2 linked regions of the Caenorhabditis elegans genome follow. The protein of the gene in region 1 interacts with the protein of each later gene in a biochemical or structural test. Each region holds a gene or a part of one and is shown on either strand. Other genes may lie near its edges. The genes, in order: egl-3 and fsn-1.

Region 1 (11,177 bases):
AAATCGATGGAAATTACCCAACAAAAAAAGTTCGAAATTACAGTACTCTTTAAAGGCTCACACCCTTTTGTATTTGATAAAAAGTGTCGTGCCGAGACCTGGTACCGTATTTTTGAGGTAAAAATCCGCGTAAGTTTTATTGAGTGAATTTATTCGGGTCTGCAGCTAGGTTTCGTTGAGAAATAGTCATACATTTATGAACGTAGAATGAAAAACTGAGAAGGGCATTGACATATTAGAAGGGGAAATTAATGAAACAATCTCCCAAACAGGAGACAACTCTAATAGTTATTCACGATATCAATCATTTCAGAAATTTGTGTTTGTTCCGGCATCGTTTTTCTGAAAATTCACAATTACTTCAGAAAAATTTGCACGTTCTATAAAAATGAGACTTTGATGCAATCGGAAGTATTTTCGCTGCTATTTTTATGTTTTCTAAGAATTTTCAAATAAACTTTCACATCATCACGAGATACATAAATGAATACGGAAAATGATTTTTTAATATATAAATAGTTATAAATCGTTTTGAATTCATATCATCTTCAAGAGTGATGACGTTTTCCACTTGCAATATGTCATTTCACTACGATGACGTCACCTTGAGAATGCTCGACAACGTCCTTCAATGGGAAATATTTCAGTTCGAATTTCCTTCCGCAAGCTGAATGTGGTCGTCGTGCTCATTTTGCTCTTTTTTTGCTTTGAAAATAACCTAACACATTGTCCATTGTTTGTCGGCGTAACATGTTTTGTCTAGACATTGGCTGTTCAGCTTTAAAACATAAATTTTCTTTACCAGTTTTAATTTTAAAATTCAAACACATATTGTTTCAAATACTCCAGGCAGCTGTTCTTTAATCAGAATATGCTCGTGTGAAACTTTAGGTATTCTTGAAACATATGTAGGTCCAAGAATAAGAAAAGTTTCAATATTTTCTCTCAAATGGAATATTTACTTTGTGTCAAGAAGCAGCTTAGAATTCAGGCAAAATTTGATTTTCAAGAGTTACCGCACAAAGAACCAAGAACTTTGGACCACACGTAAACAAGCTTCGAACCGATTTCAATAGAGGATAACATATGTTTCATAAATACTTTAGAGTTCTATCAATAATTGTATGAAGTTTGTAGTGCAAATCATGAAAAGTCTTGTCTGATAAAAAATAAATATTACTTATATGTAGTATTTTTTTAAAAACTATATTTCTTTTAATTCGTTTTAATTCAGTTGAGCTCCTAGAATTCCCTTTAATCATTACAAGATCATGTGTTCCCAGTATTATAAAACAGCTGAAAATTTCAATGTTTTTTCAAGCAGAAACGCACATTTTTCATGAAGTTTTTAATACGCATATTACGAATGTACTAGTCCACGGGGATTTTTTTGTGGATTTTCGTTTAGTCTGGCAACAAACTAAAATGAAAAAAAAAGAAAATAAAGAAGCTCTTTCCTTTCTCTCATAACTTTTTTCTGTTTGTTTTCACATTGTGATCCGTTCTCTGAAATAGACTAATAGCTCCATTAACACACTCACACAACCTGTCTCTTCACGTCATTTCGTTTCAGCTCATTTTGGTCGCTTTGTGGGTTTGAATATATTGTATCAAAAAGGTGTACTTATTGTCTGACAGAAGCTTTGAGCGCATCATAAACATGTAGAATTCTTATGCTACTTGATTGTGAGAATAGGTACTTGATTATATACAATATCTATGAGTCACATAATAAAGTAACTTGGAGGAACTTCTAAGGTAAGCGGCACTTCTTCCCACGGAAATGCCGACCTACGTGCGTGCCTACGCCTATTTCCTGCATGTTTCCTGTTTGCCCAGAGTAGACATTTCTTCATTTCTTATTTCAAGACACTCATTTAGCTTAAATTTTTTCAATGGAAACTTTTCATTTTATCTATTAAGAAATATTTACCACCTAATAGTTTACACATCTTATAATTTGTTTACAAAAACTTTTTTCAAAACTTGAAAACTTGCACGTAAACGTAATTAGTTTTGAAATGTGCAAAACACAAAAGGAACAATGACGTCTCTTTTGCTATTTCTTCTTCTACAACTTAATGCAGCACTCAAAATGGAATTCAAGAGTTCTGAATTTGAGCTTTTAAAATGAGATTATCAATTACATATTAGGCTCTAAATTATAGCTTAAACTATAATCTTAATTTCATAAAGGTCAAAGAGCTCTTCCATTAGGTTAAGCTGCTCTTGCTCCATGCATAGGCTCTCGACCATGTGCTTCATTCCCGGAAACTCCTATTCACTAGAGTCCTGGGTTTTTGAACTCTTGTTTCTGAGAGTTATTCTCTAAGTTTTTTCTTTTCCTTCTTCTGAGCGCCTTGTTCCTTCTTTACATGAATTTGATCCCATAAAAATATAATTTCCTGTAAAGAAAACGTTATGATCTCTGGCTTTCGTTCATTATAAATAAGTTTGCAGACTTGTTGGAACACGAATAAAACCAAATTTTTATTTCTAGAGAAATTACACCTTTCCCATAATCCGTAAGATTCTAGCAATGTGTTGTCGAAAAAATATGTACTATTATTTCAATTGTTCGACTTTAACAGAAGACCAATTTTCCATATTTAGCTGTGGTCTAAAAAAACAAGAACACTGAGTTGATAGTATCACGGAACACTAAATTCAAGAAATTTGTTTATGAAAAATATAGACATATTAAAAAAATGATATTAAATTTTTTAAAGGAAAATACCAATATATAACACAGCCACACTAGAACCATTGTCTCGGTGACATTATTTACTTTCCAAGAAATTATTCCAATTTTCGTGCGAATATTCCGAATATTTTGAATATTAAAAGATCTTTCTCACTTCCCTTCAAATTTCCCGGTTCATCTCATTTGAGTATTTTGTCGAAAAACACGAAGGGCTCCTGATGATGATGAATCGGGGGCATACACAGATCCAAGCACATCTTCTTCTTCATTCTCTTTCCCTATGTGTCATTCATTTGATTATCTCTTCACTGCTCTGACTGGAAACGAGGCAGAAAAATGAACAAGCATGTGAGCCGAGAGAAAGTCGAGAGCTCTTCCAAACTCATACTCTCTCGCTTCAGCACTCACACACATCCCATCGCATTTCAGAAGAGGCAAAAAAGCGACGTCATCTGAAATCGAAGAGAAGACTCATAGAGATCTGTGTGCGTGAGTGTGTATGTGTGTGTGTGAATGCCTAGAGCCAATGAGAGCTGCCGAGCCAAGCAGATCGATAAGGTGCAGTGCCCAGCGACGGCTTCATCGTATCGATCAGTGTGGGCACGCGCACAGCTTTCACCCTCACCACCTCTTCATAGTCGTCATCTTTTTCTTTCGCCTTCTTTTTTCTTCTTTTTCTTCTCCTGCTGCTTCTTCGTCGCCTATCTTCCCCCTGCTCTCCGAACCGCCCACTTTTTCAGCACTGCTGTGAAGGCTCAACCAAACTGACATCTTTTCTCGTTTTCTCGTTTTCCGAGTTTGCGCCCGCGCACAAAAAAAAAGATTTTGACATTTCCGGTTCCAGCCATGTTATTATGAATTAGATGTTTTTTATTCTGAAATGATAGCTCAAAGATGCTCTTTTGCGACCCATTGACTCATTCTTATTCTGAGCTTGATCCAATATATTCACGTCACACGCTCTCTTTTGATAAGCAGTTCCGGGTTGAATCAGCCCAAACGACATACATTTTTATTCAGCTTTTTTGTGGAAATGTCAAATCATATTAACGTATTTTTCGTTTTTATAAATTTTGGATGAATAATATTAAGAAAATCTTGGTATTTAATAAATTTTTTCATGAGGGAAACTGGAGATTACATGAAATTTTTAAAAATATTCTAGTTTCAAACAATTTAAAATTTCAAAAATAAAAGTTTCAAAGTCGGAGTCCGGACCCGATATATTTCTGTGAACTTCATGAAAACTTTATCCTTTCAAGTCGGCCGATTTAACTGAATTTATCATCAGATGCCTGACTAAACTTCCGCAAATTTGAAAACCCGTGTTTTTTTTTAGAAAAATCTAAATATCTCTCTGAAAATTTTTTTTGCAACCTTTCATTACATTTTTCAAAGGTAAGACATTCTTCAAAACGCCTTTAAACTTTTATTAGAGTAAATCAAAAATTCTCGGAAGTTGTGTGAAAAAAAACCAGCCTTACAAACCTGACTCATATTTTATTCAACCTCATTATTTTCTTTATATTCTTTCGATCTATTGTCTTTTCGAATATTGACAATAAATATTTTTCAATTGAAGGTATGAAAAACACACATGTCGACCTAATATGTGTGTTCCTGTCGATTTTCATCGGCATTGGTGAGGCGGTCGACGTCTACACCAACCATTTCCATGTTCATTTAAAAGAGGGAGGTGGACTGGAAGATGCGCATCGGATAGCCAAACGTCACGGATTTATTAATAGAGGACAAGTTGCAGCAAGTGATAATGAATATCATTTTGTGCAACCAGCACTTGTTCATGCACGAACCAGAAGATCAGCAGGTCATCATGCTAAACTTCATAATGATGATGAGGTAAGAAATCATGGGTTACTGTAGACTTGTTGCTGTTTTGACCAAGAAAAATGTTATAGAGAAGCATATAAATTGGTAATCAGACTACTTTAAAAAAGTAAAAGTTCGGTTAGACAGTTGAAAATTACATTTTACAACTTATGATAAACATCGCTTTATTTAACAGAAGTTCTTAATTCAAATTGAGGCAAAAACAAAAAACTAAATGATGTGAATTTCATAGAATTTAGTGCGGCACATTTTTGCCAAAATTTTAAAAGTTATATTAACTAGGCGATTTGCAGTCATTAATTGAATACTGACACTGACATTGAATGGAATATAATTCGTATTATTTCGGTAATTACTGATCGCAGTATTTATTATCATGAACAAGTGCTGGTTGCACAAATATTTAAACTAGAAACATTATACTACACAGTTCTGTTCAAAAGCATTCGTCACCACATAATGTGAAATTTGTAAAAAAAACAATCATGACAAATTCAACAATGATCCGGACAAATTTTAACTTTCAAAAACAAAATATATTGATATACTAATCCCATAATTCTCTTCACCATACACCTATTTTTACAACATTGATCAGCTAAATCTGTGTTAAATCCAATTCAAAATGGTCATTCATTTGATCATTTAGAGCAATAGAATATTCCTTCCAACATCTCTTCCCTACGTCATTTCATCCAACTTTTTTCATTCTTTATTCAGGTTCTTCACGTCGAGCAGCTGAAAGGATACACCCGTACAAAGCGAGGATATCGTCCGCTTGAACAGCGACTGGAAAGCCAGTTTGACTTTTCAGCAGTCATGTCTCCATCGGATCCACTTTATGGATATCAGTGGTACTTGGTGAGTCAAGGAACACATTTTGAACAGAAATAATGTTACTTGGTATTTCGAATTCAGGCAACCACGTGACGCAATTCGTTCAGTTCGTACTAATTTCCTAGTATTTCAGATAGTATGCATTAGATAATGAGAATAACAAAAATATTTCCGTCTTCAACGTTTTTTTTAATAAATCGTAATTCCAGAACTAAGGACACGAAAACATTGATAACTTTTATTAATTAAACCTGCACAAAAGTTTTTTTGATGTTTTTCTGATCGTGCACAACGTCTACCCTCTCCCCCCATAAATTAGGGATCCATTTTCTTGGTTGTCCCTACCCTGAGGGCTTCATCAGAATTTCCTTTCGTCTCGTCTTTCCGTTGCTTTCCTCCCAACCATGTAAATAGTTCATGAGATAACTTCGTCATGAAAAGAAAAAAACGAGGGAGGAGAATAAAGAAAAATGCGCCCCAATGTTCTGCTGCTCTGCGCCAAAAAATTCTCTCCGAAACATGCTCTTTTTCCAGAAAAACACTGGACAAGCTGGCGGAAAAGCTCGTTTGGATTTGAATGTGGAAAGGGTAACAAATTGAAAAGAAAAATAAAAATTTTGGAAAATAAAAATTTTAAGGCTTGGGCAATGGGATTTACTGGAAAGAACATCACAACAGCGATTATGGATGACGGAGTGGATTACATGCATCCGGATATTAAGAACAACTTTGTAAGTCGTCTGATTACACATTACAATCAGGGTCTTATCGTTTTGGTAGAAACTCACATATTTTGATATTTGAGACAAATAGTGAAGCCATAAAATAGGGAAACTGAATTAAATTCCAAAGCTGTCTTGAGAACACTAAAATGCCCAGTAAATTTTTTTGGATTTCTCTTCGAAGAAATCAGAAACCAAAAATGTAAAGTCTAGAATAACCAAAAAGCTATTGAAAACTTACTTGAGAGCCATTTGTCTCAAAAAATGGATTCTCAAAAGTCTCATTTGTAGACGTAACATAATTGAACATTTATTTCACTGATTTTTATAATCTTTTTAAAATTGATGTTTAAAATTGAAAATTTCGTCAAATTATCTGTTTACAGTAGATTTATGAATCGAATTTTTTTCCAGAATGCCGAAGCTTCATACGATTTCTCATCAAATGATCCATTCCCATATCCAAGATACACTGATGACTGGTTCAATTCCCACGGAACTCGATGCGCCGGAGAAATCGTTGCCGCCCGTGACAACGGTGTCTGTGGAGTCGGAGTTGCCTATGACGGAAAGGTTGCTGGAATCAGAATGCTTGATCAACCCTACATGACCGATCTCATTGAAGCCAATTCAATGGGACACGAGCCGAGCAAAATTCATATCTACTCTGCTTCATGGGGACCGACTGATGATGGAAAGACTGTTGATGGACCACGTAATGCCACTATGCGAGCAATCGTCAGGGGTGTCAACGAGGGACGTAACGGACTTGGATCCATTTTTGTTTGGGCCAGTGGAGACGGAGGAGAGGATGATGATTGTAATTGTGATGGATATGCGGCAAGCATGTGGACAATCTCGATCAATTCAGCCATTAACAATGGAGAAAATGCTCACTACGATGAGTATGTTTCGAGTTTTATTTTCACTTCAAACACAAATTAAAACAAACTTCAGATCTTGTTCATCAACCCTTGCTTCCACTTTCTCCAATGGAGGACGAAACCCAGAAACCGGAGTCGCTACTACCGATCTCTACGGAAGATGCACCCGATCTCACTCCGGAACTTCCGCTGCTGCTCCAGAAGCGGCAGGAGTCTTTGCCCTTGCTCTTGAAGCCAATCCATCTCTTACCTGGAGAGATCTCCAACACTTGACAGTTCTCACTTCAAGCAGAAACTCCCTGTTTGACGGAAGATGCCGTGACTTCCCATCTCTCGGAATCAACGATAACCACCGCGACTCTCATGGAAACTGTTCTCACTTTGAATGGCAAATGAATGGAGTTGGACTCGAGTACAATCACCTTTTCGGATTTGGAGTTCTTGATGCAGCAGAGATGGTCATGTTGGCAATGGCCTGGAAGACTTCCCCACCACGTTATCACTGTACTGCTGGACTCATTGACACTCCACAGTAAGTCACTTTTACAGAATGACCATTCAAATTCCTAACTAATCATTACGTTAAATTGCTTTCAGTGAGATCCCAGCCGATGGAAACTTGATTCTTGAAATTAATACTGATGGATGTGCCGGATCTCAATTCGAAGTCCGCTACCTGGAACATGTTCAAGCAGTTGTCTCGTTCAACTCGACTCGTCGTGGAGATACCACTCTCTACTTGATCTCTCCAATGGGAACCCGTACCATGATTCTTTCCCGCAGACCAAAGGATGATGATTCAAAGGATGGATTCACCAACTGGCCATTCATGACAACACACACATGGGGAGAGAATCCAACAGGAAAATGGAGACTTGTCGCCAGATTCCAAGTGAGTAATGCATTCATGATGAACAATTTTATTTGAGCACTTAAATATTGTATACCTTTTTCTAAGTTCGCCTAACGTTTTTTTAGAACTAGATCGAAATCGGCTGCGAAATCGGCTAAGATAAGATATCTTAAAATGTTGTTTTCTCATAGATCAAAGCACAACATTTATATGATAATCTGTACACAAAATTTTCTGTAAACACTAATAATGTTTCAGGGACCTGGAGCTCATGCCGGAACCCTTAAGAAGTTCGAGCTGATGTTGCACGGAACAAGAGAAGCCCCATACAATCTCATCGAGCCAATCGTCGGTCAAACCAACAAGAAGCTCGACACCGTTCAAAAAGCCCACAAACGCAGCCACTAAATGTACAAAATTCCCCAATTTCTTCCTTCCTTCAAAAAATTTCTAAGAATTTCCTCTTCCTCCTCCTCTTTTTAACTAGTTGAAAATGAAACAGATCATCGAGCTTCCCAGTCGACCCGCCCCCAATATCCGGTGATCCGTATTGTTGTAGTCGCTTCGGGTGCCGCACACAGATTTACAGATTTTTATATTTTGTAAGTATATTCCATCAAATCGTCCATCACCACCATTCGCCCCACCCATTTCTTCTTTTTTCTATTTCTCCCTCTTCCTTTTTTTCTCTCCCCTTCATATTTTTATTGTCAGTTTTTCGACCCGATCATCACATCACAATTGTTAAATGAGCTGAGCCACACACACACAAACACAAATGACAGACACAAAACATCATTACCATCTGAAACGAAAACCGAAAAGAGCCCTTAAAATCTCTCTCACTCCATCATCACACCATCTTCATTCGCCATGCAAATCCCTGCGCGCACAAGTCGAACCACCCATAATAAATCGTTCGGAATTGTTATTGACATGCAGATAGTTCAATTTATTTGTCTGCTGCAAAAACTATAATTTCCTTTTTAAAAATGATATGATTCACTTGGTCTTTTGTCGAACAAGAAATAATCAAAAAATGACGCCACGAACATTGGAAAAGTACTTTCTAAAAGAATCCGCCTTTTCAAAATCATGACTTTTGGTAAATTGCAACACTAGATGCTTAGTCACTATCCAATTGATATCTCTCAGATTTTTTGGCTTTCTGAATACGTTTTTGAAGTCAAATGTAGTCAACAAAGTTAACTCAAAAGTTAAAAATACACTTAAAAAAATTAAAGCTATTTTAACCCTCTGTGTTTTTCTACAGTATACCTTCTAATTTATCGGGAAAAATAGTTCGTCAATCTCACAAATCCATCTAGAATTTCAGAATTTAAATATTTCTTGAAAAGCATAAAAAATCCCGGTGCAACTAAAAAAATTATATATATATAAAGTTGTATGTAAAAATTGTATGAAAAACTGGTTGTTAAATACAACTTTTATGATTATGTTTTGTTGTTTATTTAACTGAGTGTAGACATTTTGTCACATTTAGACCTTAAAATCTGTTATCATAATTTCGACAAATACTTTAAATAAGTTTTGCTGTACGAAAAGGATTGTTGTGTTTTAAGTTTTTATTTTTTAATTTTGAGATCAATTATACTTTATTTATTATAACTGTTGGAAAATTGCAACATGCAGTATTCCAAAAGTGTCCTGCCCAAATTTTTTATGCGCTCCTCATTTTCTTTGAAATGAAGCAAAATGAACTTGTAATAAATATGAAGACAGTAGGCTCTTTAACGATTGTGACATCACACTCTCTGAAAATAATTTTGACGTGTTTCCAAGAGTATATCAGGTATGGCACGTCTTGAATGCCTCTCAGGAAAATTAGTTTTTAGGAAAATAAAATCTCCAGAATATCTCAATTCAAATTTTGAACAATCACTCTTAAACTTCAATCAGTAATTGCCCCACCCCATTTAATTTTTGCCCATTTGTCGAATTCGTCCCAAATTGAACGTCTCTTCATCGTTTTCTCTTCTGCCAGTAGTCGTCAGACAATGATACGTGCCTGTTTGTCGCCTCTTTTCTCTTTCTCTACCACAACAATATGCATTATCACTTTGTATACATACAGATTCTAATTCTTCCGGCATTTCATTTCCTATTCACTGTTTCTAGCAAACCATTTCATTTTTTTTAGTACTAAATAGATGAATTATATTCCAACAAACGAACACGTTCATTCTCATCCTTTTCAGATCTTTTTCTGACACATTCTGTCATTGACACACTTGGAAGATTGCCAATCAAATCTTGTCGTATCCATTATTATCTCTCAATCTCTCTTCCATCTCCATAAAGATATCCATTGATCAGCCAATGATATCACCATTTCATTTGATTTTAGCCTTAATCTACTTTTTTAAAAAACATTAGTCAATTAAAATTGTCTCTTCAAATTGAAAAACTATAACCAGCTGACTTAACCTTATCAATGAAAAATAGCAAGAAAAGTAAGAGTGCACATAGATTCACAACATTGGTACTGGAATAGCGTTAATGAGCTTCACATTTTTCTTAAATAATTTGATTAGCAAGTGTTCCCGTTTCACAGACATATGTTGCCATTTTGGTATACCCCGAAAGTATATCCCGAAAGGATTGAAGGTGTGCAAGGAAATAAAAACTAGTTTTGGACTAATAATTTTGTAAGCAATACGAACTGGAAAAACACCGTATATTATTTTATTTTATTTTCAGAAAAGTAATACGTACTAATTAATTTCACTGCTGCAGACATTATTTCTTTAAGAAATCATGAATTTTATATATTTTCACAAAGTTCTCACAAGTCGGAAAGACGTTCCCAAACCAAAAAATAACACTAATTTTTAGTAATGCTATTTCACAAAAATTATTATTGATGCGACTAGAATTGCGCCGGAACAAAACACATTAATCCGTCCATCTACCTGTATATTTCATTTTTGTGTTTACTTTGTTTCTAGCAGTCTGACAAACAACGATTTTCCTGAATCTTTTCCACCGATTGTCCATGATAACTTTTTAGAGTTAAAAACATATGATAAATAGTCTAGTTAAAATAATATTTGATATTTTATAATAGTCACATTGAAATCATATGTTGATCATATCAGTTTCGGTAAATAAAAATGTACTCAGTCTGCCTTTTTATTTATAAACATGTATCATTATGCATGTAGTTTTCAAACAGTGGATCTCTGAACTCTGAGGGTAATAATTGTTTTCTATTGGGGACGAAGTACGAGTCTATTCTACTTTTTTGACAAAACCTAATAATGAATTTGCTCCAAGCTTTTTAAAATTATTAAGTTTTTTAAAAA
Region 2 (8,869 bases), on another chromosome or scaffold:
TTCAATAGTTTATTGAAGATATATTTTGTTTTAGATAAACCGCAAGTTCGTGGCTAAACCCTGTGGAGTTGTGAGTGGAGAGACACCTCAACGTCCATTTCTTGAAGAAATGTATTATTTCAATCCTCAGGAAACTGGAACTGCGAGCGAGATTTTCGACATGCTTTTCCCTGCAAAGTAAGCCTTTTCAATATAGAGTGAATATATTTTTTAATTAAATACCTTTGACAAGTTTCAGAGATACTCCAAATTTTCGCCCATGGCTTGATGGGCACTTTTCGGCTCCAGATTTGCAGTTCAAACAAATAGAAAAACAACGACAAACTAAACTCCATTCATACACAGGGACCACGTTACAAGAAAAAAAACGCAAAAAACGAAAAAAAATATTGAAAAGTATTCAAGAAATATTGTGGCTTCTACACTTCCAGAAACATGATGATTTCTTGGAATCAACGAGTCGCCTCACAATTAAGAACTTTTCATGCCATTTTGATGAACATCAGCGGCTTAAATTGCTGCGTAACAACGATTTATCATTAATATGTAATTATCAAATCGGATCAGAAAATACTCCAATTTTTAACCAAAGAAGCACGGATTGTATGCTTAGACCCGTATTTATAGGTTGGTTACTTTCATATTTAGATGTTTTTAACTTTGAATAATTCGTTTCAGATGGCTTATCATTCATGGACATGCTAATTCCGATCTCATCGTCGCTTCCAATAATTTCCACGAGATCTCTACTTGAAATACTTTTAAATTTCATTCTAGACGGGTGCCAAACTGTAATATACTTGCCAGATTATTATAACGATACAACTAACCAAAAAGTCGATGACTCGACTATTTTTCAATTCTTGTGCAATTCAAAACTTATACAGTTTGTTGACGGGCGGAGTCGGAGGGCTGTGGAACGACAAGTATTGCTTGAAGCTGAAAAGGTTATTCTTTTAGTTTCAAAATTCGTTAATTTGAAAATAAATTTTAGGTCCATGGAGTCTTTGTTTCCTCAGCGGAAGAGTTTCTAACCCGAAACGCTATTCAATGCTTTCCAGTGATTAATCGTTATTCTAAAAGACTTGATGAATTTCTAATTTGCACAGTATTCCTAGTCAATAATCTTCCGAAAAAAATACTCGCACAAGATTTCGTTGAAGAATCTAGAGTTTTGAAACCTGAAGGGAGTTCTTCAGCCGTATCAAGCACAACTGTCCTAGAAGAATCACATCAAAAAATCAGTGGAGCTATGGAAGACTCTGAGGATGAACCTGCTGATCCACAAACGTTGAAACAAGAATATTTGATTAAAGAGGAATGTTCTGAAATATCAGAAGATTCTGAAGAAGGAGCTATCGTCGATGTTGCTTCCAGCTCAGGCGACTTATCCGAAAACGTAGGTGCAATCTAAATTTTGTAAAGTCTAAATTTTTTCAGCGTGATCAGAAATCTGAAAACGAAGAATTTGAATATTCCCCGCATCAGTTAACTCTTGAGCAACAAACATATTTGGTTATTTTTTCCAGTTTTCCGTTCAGATTGATTTATCATCAATATTTCAGATTTCCTCTATGGCGCAACTCTCTATTTTCCATTTCCAACGCTATCGCCAAATAAGAGTATTCCTTATGATTATAAAACGTTACGTGCCAGAACTTTTACCTAGTTTTATGCAAAAAACTCGCATGGATGATGTTGCTATGGCAATTCAAGACATTCAGAACGGGAAGGACCTTCTTTATTGGCCTATTTTCTCAAAAATTGATAATTAATATGTTCAATAAAAATATTTTCGCATTTCTTTGGTTTTAAACTTTTATTTTAAAAATTCTTGGTAATATATACCCTGAAAATTGTATTTTAAACAAACAATTGCATTTTTTGTTTGAAAAATTTTATTTGAATTTTCTGGCAACAACACTCCGAAATTCCGTATGCGCGTGTTGTTTAGCCGCATACGAAACACCCAGTTTCTCAGGAGCATTGATTAAAGTCGGGCTAAAGTAAAGTTAGCAAGCTTCTTTTGAATTTGAAGTTCGTCTTTTAGTTATAATTTCATTTTAAGTAATATGCCTAACCTTCGAATTATTTGTTCTTCTCGATTTATTCGTTAGTTCCTCTGTTCTCAGTATCTTCCCGTCAGATTATCATTACCGACTTTTTTATTCCCATTTTTCATTACTTAGCAGAATCAATCACTTCATTTGGCTGAATAGCTACTATTTTAACACAAGTTTCTTTGATGCTTGTCAGAAGTGTTATTCATTCAAGGTATAAAGCTATAATTAGCTATGCCATCATTTTATATTTCGTCCAGCTCTCGTATCTCGCATTTTTATTTCCATGCGGAGTTTCTGATGATATTTTCTTCATTTTTATTCTAGAATTTCATGATCAATTATATCTCACTAATATTTAATCTTAATTACAGATGCTCCGTTCACTGGTATCCAGTGTGACGACGGGTCCGACTCCAGAATGGGCCGGGAGAATTCTAATGGCCTTCAGTGGACATATCAGTCAGCAGAGAGGTCGCAGAAGAACATTGACCCCAGCTCCATGGCTTCCGCCAGTCAAAGAGAGTGTGCCGAAAAGCAGTGTGGGTATTAGCCAGGGGACAAAGTAAGTTGCATTAATTCTTACCTGTTTAGCAAACGTTTTTGTTCAGAAATCTGCTTGAAACCGTAATTGAGAAAGAAACTCTTGCGGCGTCCACCATTGCATTTCAAAATTCTCAAGAAACCAATGTCTCAGTTGTTGACATTCCAGATTCATCAAGACGTGTGGGTCTGGTTGTCCGCAAAATCGGAATGCTCCCACAATGGACAAATGAAGGAAACCGAATTCTGTGCACTGTGCTTGAAGTTGATGAAAATCATGTTGTCAGTATTACATCACCAGAGGCTTGGTATAAATCGTCAGCCGTCGGAAAAAGAAAGGCTTTCAATCGTCACGGTCCTATGTGGAGAGTTACAGTGGGTGCCGGAAATGATGATCCAACAAAATACACGCTTGGGTACCGTAGGCAATTTGTTCGCGCAGGAATTCCAGTGAAAGGTTGGGTTTTTTTTGTGTTTTGCTCCGCTTTTCGATAGTCCTTCACCGTAAATTCATGGTTAAAAAAATAAATTCAGAGAAACTCGGATGTTTCCTGGTAACAGAAGACGCTCTCCCCAGTGCTGGACAGCCACTTGATGCCCGTCACTTCGGAGTTGGTCAATATGTAACTGCTACTGGAAAAACTATTGACTGGGGATTCCAGGTAATTTTTTTCAATTTACAATAGTCTAAAACTTCCAAAATTTCCCTTGCAAGCCAAGGAGCAAAATAATCTCTCAACCCTTGCGAAATATTTTCGAAACTAGTCGTTTTCAGGGTGGAATGCATCGATGGGGAATGCGTGGACAACCGACAAGACGTACCACAAAATCACATCGTAGAATTGGTTCCGTTGGTTCAGTCGGCGATGCTCGAATTTGGCCAGGAAAACGTATGCCGGGACATATGGGTTATGAGTGGAGGACTGTTTCTGGTTTGGAAGTAAGAAATTGCTCTCGATTTTAATTTTCAATTCATTTATTTAAGATTGTTCGAATCAATGTAGATAAACAAGTAATTTATGTGAAAGGAAGTGTACCTGGTGATATTGGAGAAACAATTCTACTTAAAGATTGCTTACAAGAAGAAAAACGTCTGAAATCCGGCCCAATGCCAACATGGGCTCCATCACTAGAAACCATCGAAGAAGAACCGGAGACAGAACCCGAAGAAGGCACAATTCCCAAAAATCTTCTTTTCAACGAAAAATTCTCGCCCAAACTGTTCCGTTTCACATCTCCATCCATTTTATTCACTGATGCCGACGCCAAGAAGGCCACTGGAAGAGATAAAACGAAAGCTAAGATTGCAAAAGTTAAAAAGTAATGGTGTATCTAATTTTATGATATATTACGGTTTTCCTTTATCGTTTTTTGTCGAAATTCGGTTTATTAGAATTTTTGTTCCGTAGATTTATAGATTTTTCATTGTTTTGCATTGTTTTTGTTTGTTCTGAATACCAAAAAGCAGAGTTTATATTCAATTATTTGTTGATTTTTTTCCAAACCGGTCGTTTACCGAGATTTACTTTATTTCTTAACATTATGCATTCTGAAACTTGGATTCTCAATTTGAAGCGAATGACAAGACTGTGGTGAGCTGGTTAATCGAGAAGTATGGCTGAAAACGACGGGGAAACGATTGTTCCAGACGAACAGTGCAATTTGACGGCCTCAACGCCTATGAAAAGTAGTGGGTTGGAAGTGAGTTGCTTTCTTTTTTCAAAATACTGTTTTTGAAACTTGAATTTTTCAAACTTCAAAGCTAGACAATATTTTTAAAAAATTGTTTATGAAAACAAGCTATAAAATAATAAAAAAGGGAAATATATTAAATTTTCAGCAAGTGGAAAGCCCGAAAGAACGAAAAACTTCAATGGTGGAATGTGATGACGAAGGGAATCCATCATCAGGAACCCCAGATGAATCACCAAAACAATTGACTCCGCATAGCATTCCCCCAAGACGACGACGTTCTCCACGACGCCCGGAAGTGTCAGCTTCTAGACTTCCTCTGAAAGTACTGAATCAGATTTTTCAGTATTTACCATTGAAAGGTAAACATATAACATTTTCCCCCTTGAAGTTACATGGCTCTGTTTTCAGACCTACGATCTGCAATGCTAACCTGTCATAGTTGGAATAACGCTCTTTCAATGGAAGACAGTGACATATGGCAGTACCTTCTTGGCAAGAAGCTTCCAGAAGCAGCAGTTTCCGATCCCTTCCTGCTCGCCGAGCTGGGATCTGCAAAAAAGAAGCTGAGAGCCTGGTATTTTGCCTGGAATACGAGCGATATTTCAAGAAATAACTACATCCGTACCAACGGTTTCACTGTTCACCGGCAGCCAGTTGCTCAGTCAACAGACGGTGTCCGTGGAAAACGAGGGATTTCAAAAGGAGTACACGCATTTGATATAACTTGGGATGGACCGTTGGGAACTGTAGCCGTTGTTGGTATTGCTACTAAGTGAGTAGTTAATTTATTTGAAAATTTAAAGATATATCTTTAACATTTTCAGACATGCTGCTCTTCACTGTGTTGGCTATGTTGCTCTCCTCGGATCAGATGATCAATCATGGGGATGGAATCTTGTAGATAATGTTTTGATGCACAATGGAGCACAGCTTGGTGTTTATCCAAAAATGAACAATCCTCCGAAATATGAGGTATTTCACTAAAAAAATTCAGTTATAAGCCGATGCAAGCAAATATATTTCGTTCTAGGACGAAACAACGGTATTGGGCCACAATTTTACAAAATACGACGTTCTTGTTTTATAAAGTTGTTTAATATGTGAAAAAGTTCAATTTTTCATCTCTAACAATTTAAGAAACATGAACGTCATGGTAAAATCGCATGACGAGTTTTTTTTGAGTTGTCGAGAAATTTCCAATAATTAACTTTTTCTGTATATCTGCATTGTGAAAAGTGCTAGAAATTCAAACCATTTTTTTTATTTCCTCGGCTAGAATTCACAATATTCAAACTTCGATAAATTGAAACAATTATTTTCCATTCACTAAAACTGTACAGAAAAGAAAAATTATATTTTTTAACAAAGTGAAATTTTAAAAATTTAGAACAAGTTTTTTTGTTGTTTTTTTTTTTTAATATTTAACTTCCTGAAAAATTATATTTTGAAATAATGGTTTAAAATCTTCGAATAAACTAATTAGTTAAAAACTGAAATAATCCTTTTTCCAGGTCGGCGATAAAATCCGCCTAATAATCGACTGTGACACCCATGTCGCTTACTTTGAACGAAACTCGGAATTTCTCGGAATCGCATTCAACCATATTCCCCCATTACGTCTCTATCCGGCTGTCTGTGCGGTTTATGGCAACACAGAAGTGACAATGGTGTATGTTGGAAGTCCACAAATGGGTTGAAGACGTTCGCTAGAGCGTATATTCTGACTTCTGCGCGCGTATTTATTCGCCACTCAAAATGTAATTATTCACATGTTTTCATCGCTTGTCTCATATTTCTACTGTTATTATAATTTTCAGAAAAATATGAAAATTATTTAATTCTGATATTAAACTTTACCTGTAATTAAAACACTCATAATAGATCTTTTTCCCGCACGCTTTCCTCTCACACACTTTCTCATTCCCATATTGATCTCTTTTATTGCTTATCGAGCTTTTCTAGTCACTTCGTGATAATTGGTCCATTTCTCAATGAAGCTTTTTCGTCGCTTTATAATAATATTATATGCTTTTTAAATTGTTTATTCGGTTTTTTCTTTGTAAAAATCCGCTAAATACCTATAGTTTTTCTTGAATTCTTTTTTCCTAATCATCAACTTTTTCAGCCTCATATCAGAATCACTGTACGTCGCCGGCAAAAATGATGTACGATGATGAGGATGAGATGGTTAATGACCCGATGGACGGAGACTATATCGATGATTCGGATGAAATCAGTGCAGAAGCATGGCAAGAAGCATGTTGGGTTGTTATCAGTGCTTATTTCGATGAAAAGGTATTTTTGATTATAAAATCATGAAAGAATCTCTTTTTTGAAGGGTCTCGTTCGTCAACAACTTGATTCCTTCGATGAATTCGTCCAAATGAATGTGCAGCGAATTGTTGAGGATTCTCCGCCAGTCGAACTTCAATCAGAAAATCAGCATCTTGGCACAGATATGGAAAATCCTGCGAAATTCTCATTGAAATTCAATCAAATTTACCTCTCGAAACCAACTCACTGGGAGAAAGACGGAGCACCAATGCCAATGATGCCTAACGAAGCTCGTCTCCGAAATTTGACATACGCCTCGCCACTTTACGTAGATATCACTAAAGTGGTGACAAGAGACGATTCAGCAACGGAAAAAGTGTACGACAAAGTGTTCGTTGGAAAAGTTCCAGTTATGCTACGGTCTAGTTACTGTATGCTTTCCAATATGACAGATCGTGATCTAACAGAACTCAATGAGTGCCCACTTGATCCTGGAGGTTATTTTGTTATCAATGGTTCGGAGAAAGTACTTATTGCTCAAGAAAAGATGGCGACTAATACAGTTTACGTGTTCTCAATGAAAGACGGAAAATATGCATTCAAAACGGAATGTCGCTCTTGTTTGGAAAATTCATCTCGTCCGACATCCACAATGTGGGTTAATATGCTTGCAAGAGGAGGAGGTGGTGGAAAGAAGACGGCGATGGGTCAACGAATTATTGGAATTTTACCATATATTAAACAAGAAATTCCGATTATGATTGTGTTCCGAGCGCTGGGATTCGTATCAGATCGTGATATTCTTGGACACATTATCTACGATTTCAATGATCCAGAAATGATGGAAATGGTCAAACCTTCGTTAGATGAAGCTTTTGTCATTCAGGAGCAAAATGTTGCTCTCAACTTTATCGGAGCTCGTGGAGCAAAACCAGGAGTAACCAGAGAACAAAGAATCAAATATGCTCGTGAGATTCTTCAAAAAGAACTTTTGCCTCATGTTGGTGTATCTGAGCATTGCGAAACGAAAAAAGCATTCTTCATCGGATACATGGTGCATCGTCTTCTTCTAGCCGCCCTCGGACGTCGTGAACTTGATGATCGTGATCACATTGGAAACAAAAGACTGGATTTAGCCGGACCACTTCTTGCTTTCTTGTTCCGTTCCCTTTTCAGAAATCTTCTCAAGGAGGTGAGCTTTCAATATAATTATATCTCGAATGTATTCAATTTTCAGATGAGAATGACAGCTCAAAAGTATATCAACAAGAATGACGACTTTGCTCTTGATGTCTGCGTCAAAACTTCAACAATAACTCGTGGATTGACATATTCATTGGCTACCGGTAATTGGGGTGATCAAAAGAAAGCACATCAATCGAGAGCCGGTGTGTCTCAAGTACTCAATCGTCTCACCTACACGGCCACACTTTCACATTTGCGTCGAGCGAACTCTCCTATTGGACGAGAAGGAAAACTTGCCAAGCCTCGTCAGCTGCATAATACTCAATGGGGAATGGTGTGTCCTGCTGAAACTCCTGAAGGACAGGCTGTAGGTTTGGTGAAGAATCTGGCACTTATGGCATACATCTCTGTCGGTTCGTTACCAGAGCCAATTCTGGAATTCTTGGAAGAATGGTGAGGATTCTCCGGTCTATTGTAATTCGTAAAGTATTATTTTTCAGGTCAATGGAAAATCTTGAAGAAGTGTCTCCATCGGCTATTGCCGATGCTACGAAGATCTTTGTCAACGGTGCATGGGTGGGAATTCATCGTGAACCCGATCAATTGATGACGACGTTGAAGAAGCTTCGACGTCAAATGGACATCATCGTTTCCGAAGTATCAATGGTTCGTGATATTCGTGACAGAGAAATTCGTATCTACACTGATGCTGGAAGAGTTTGCCGTCCATTACTTATTGTTGAGAATCAGAAATTGGCATTGAAGAAGAGACACATTGATCAGTTGAAGGTAAGATTTTTTCAAAATAGTATGATTTCCAAAACGACAACGGGTCGAGTTATAAAAATTTCAATGATTCCAGGAGGCTGCTGACGAAGCGAATAAATACACATGGTCTGATCTTGTTGGTGGTGGAGTTGTCGAACTGATTGATTCAATGGAAGAAGAAACATCAATGATTGCAATGATGCCAGAAGATTTGAGAAGTGGTGGTTACTGTGACACTCATACTCATTGTGAAATTCATCCAGCCATGATTCTCGGAGTTTGTGCCTCAATCATTCCATTCCCAGATCATAATCAATCACCACGTAATACATACCAAGTGAGTT

Evidence for each region.
Region 2: of the proteins of egl-3 (region 1) and fsn-1, one has a biochemical effect on the other in vitro, tested with the Caenorhabditis elegans proteins (one study listed by BioGRID).

What each region holds. Positions count from the first base shown.
Region 1 is NC_003283.11:10,166,863-10,178,039, reverse strand, and holds egl-3 (Neuroendocrine convertase 2), read left to right. Parts: upstream 1-4,286; 5' UTR 4,287-4,288; coding exon 4,289-4,564; intron 4,565-5,275; coding exon 5,276-5,416; intron 5,417-5,926; coding exon 5,927-5,980; intron 5,981-6,030; coding exon 6,031-6,123; intron 6,124-6,528; coding exon 6,529-7,019; intron 7,020-7,071; coding exon 7,072-7,530; intron 7,531-7,595; coding exon 7,596-7,890; intron 7,891-8,109; coding exon 8,110-8,259; 3' UTR 8,260-8,863; downstream 8,864-11,177. UniProt on the Caenorhabditis elegans protein: Serine endoprotease which cleaves preproteins at paired basic amino acids. Processes FMRFamide-like (flp) and neuropeptide-like protein (nlp) neuropeptides.
Region 2 is NC_003281.10:4,933,144-4,942,012, forward strand, and holds fsn-1 (F-box/SPRY domain-containing protein 1), read left to right. Parts: upstream 1-4,178; 5' UTR 4,179-4,217; coding exon 4,218-4,304; intron 4,305-4,443; coding exon 4,444-4,657; intron 4,658-4,706; coding exon 4,707-5,070; intron 5,071-5,122; coding exon 5,123-5,270; intron 5,271-5,809; coding exon 5,810-5,995; 3' UTR 5,996-6,310; downstream 6,311-8,869. Other genes in the region: eri-9 (Zc3h12a-like Ribonuclease NYN domain-containing protein), read left to right, coding at 35-177, 233-627, 679-947, 995-1,399, 1,441-1,515, 1,566-1,775; mrps-18C (Large ribosomal subunit protein uL3m), read left to right, coding at 2,435-2,625, 2,672-3,060, 3,138-3,265, 3,379-3,543, 3,589-3,927; rpb-2 (DNA-directed RNA polymerase II subunit RPB2), read left to right, coding at 6,459-6,593, 6,637-7,764, 7,810-8,210, 8,258-8,546, 8,620-8,862. UniProt on the Caenorhabditis elegans protein: Component of a SCF (SKP1-CUL1-F-box protein) E3 ubiquitin ligase complex which is required for the restriction and/or maturation of synapses in GABAergic neuromuscular junction (NMJ) presynaptic neurons.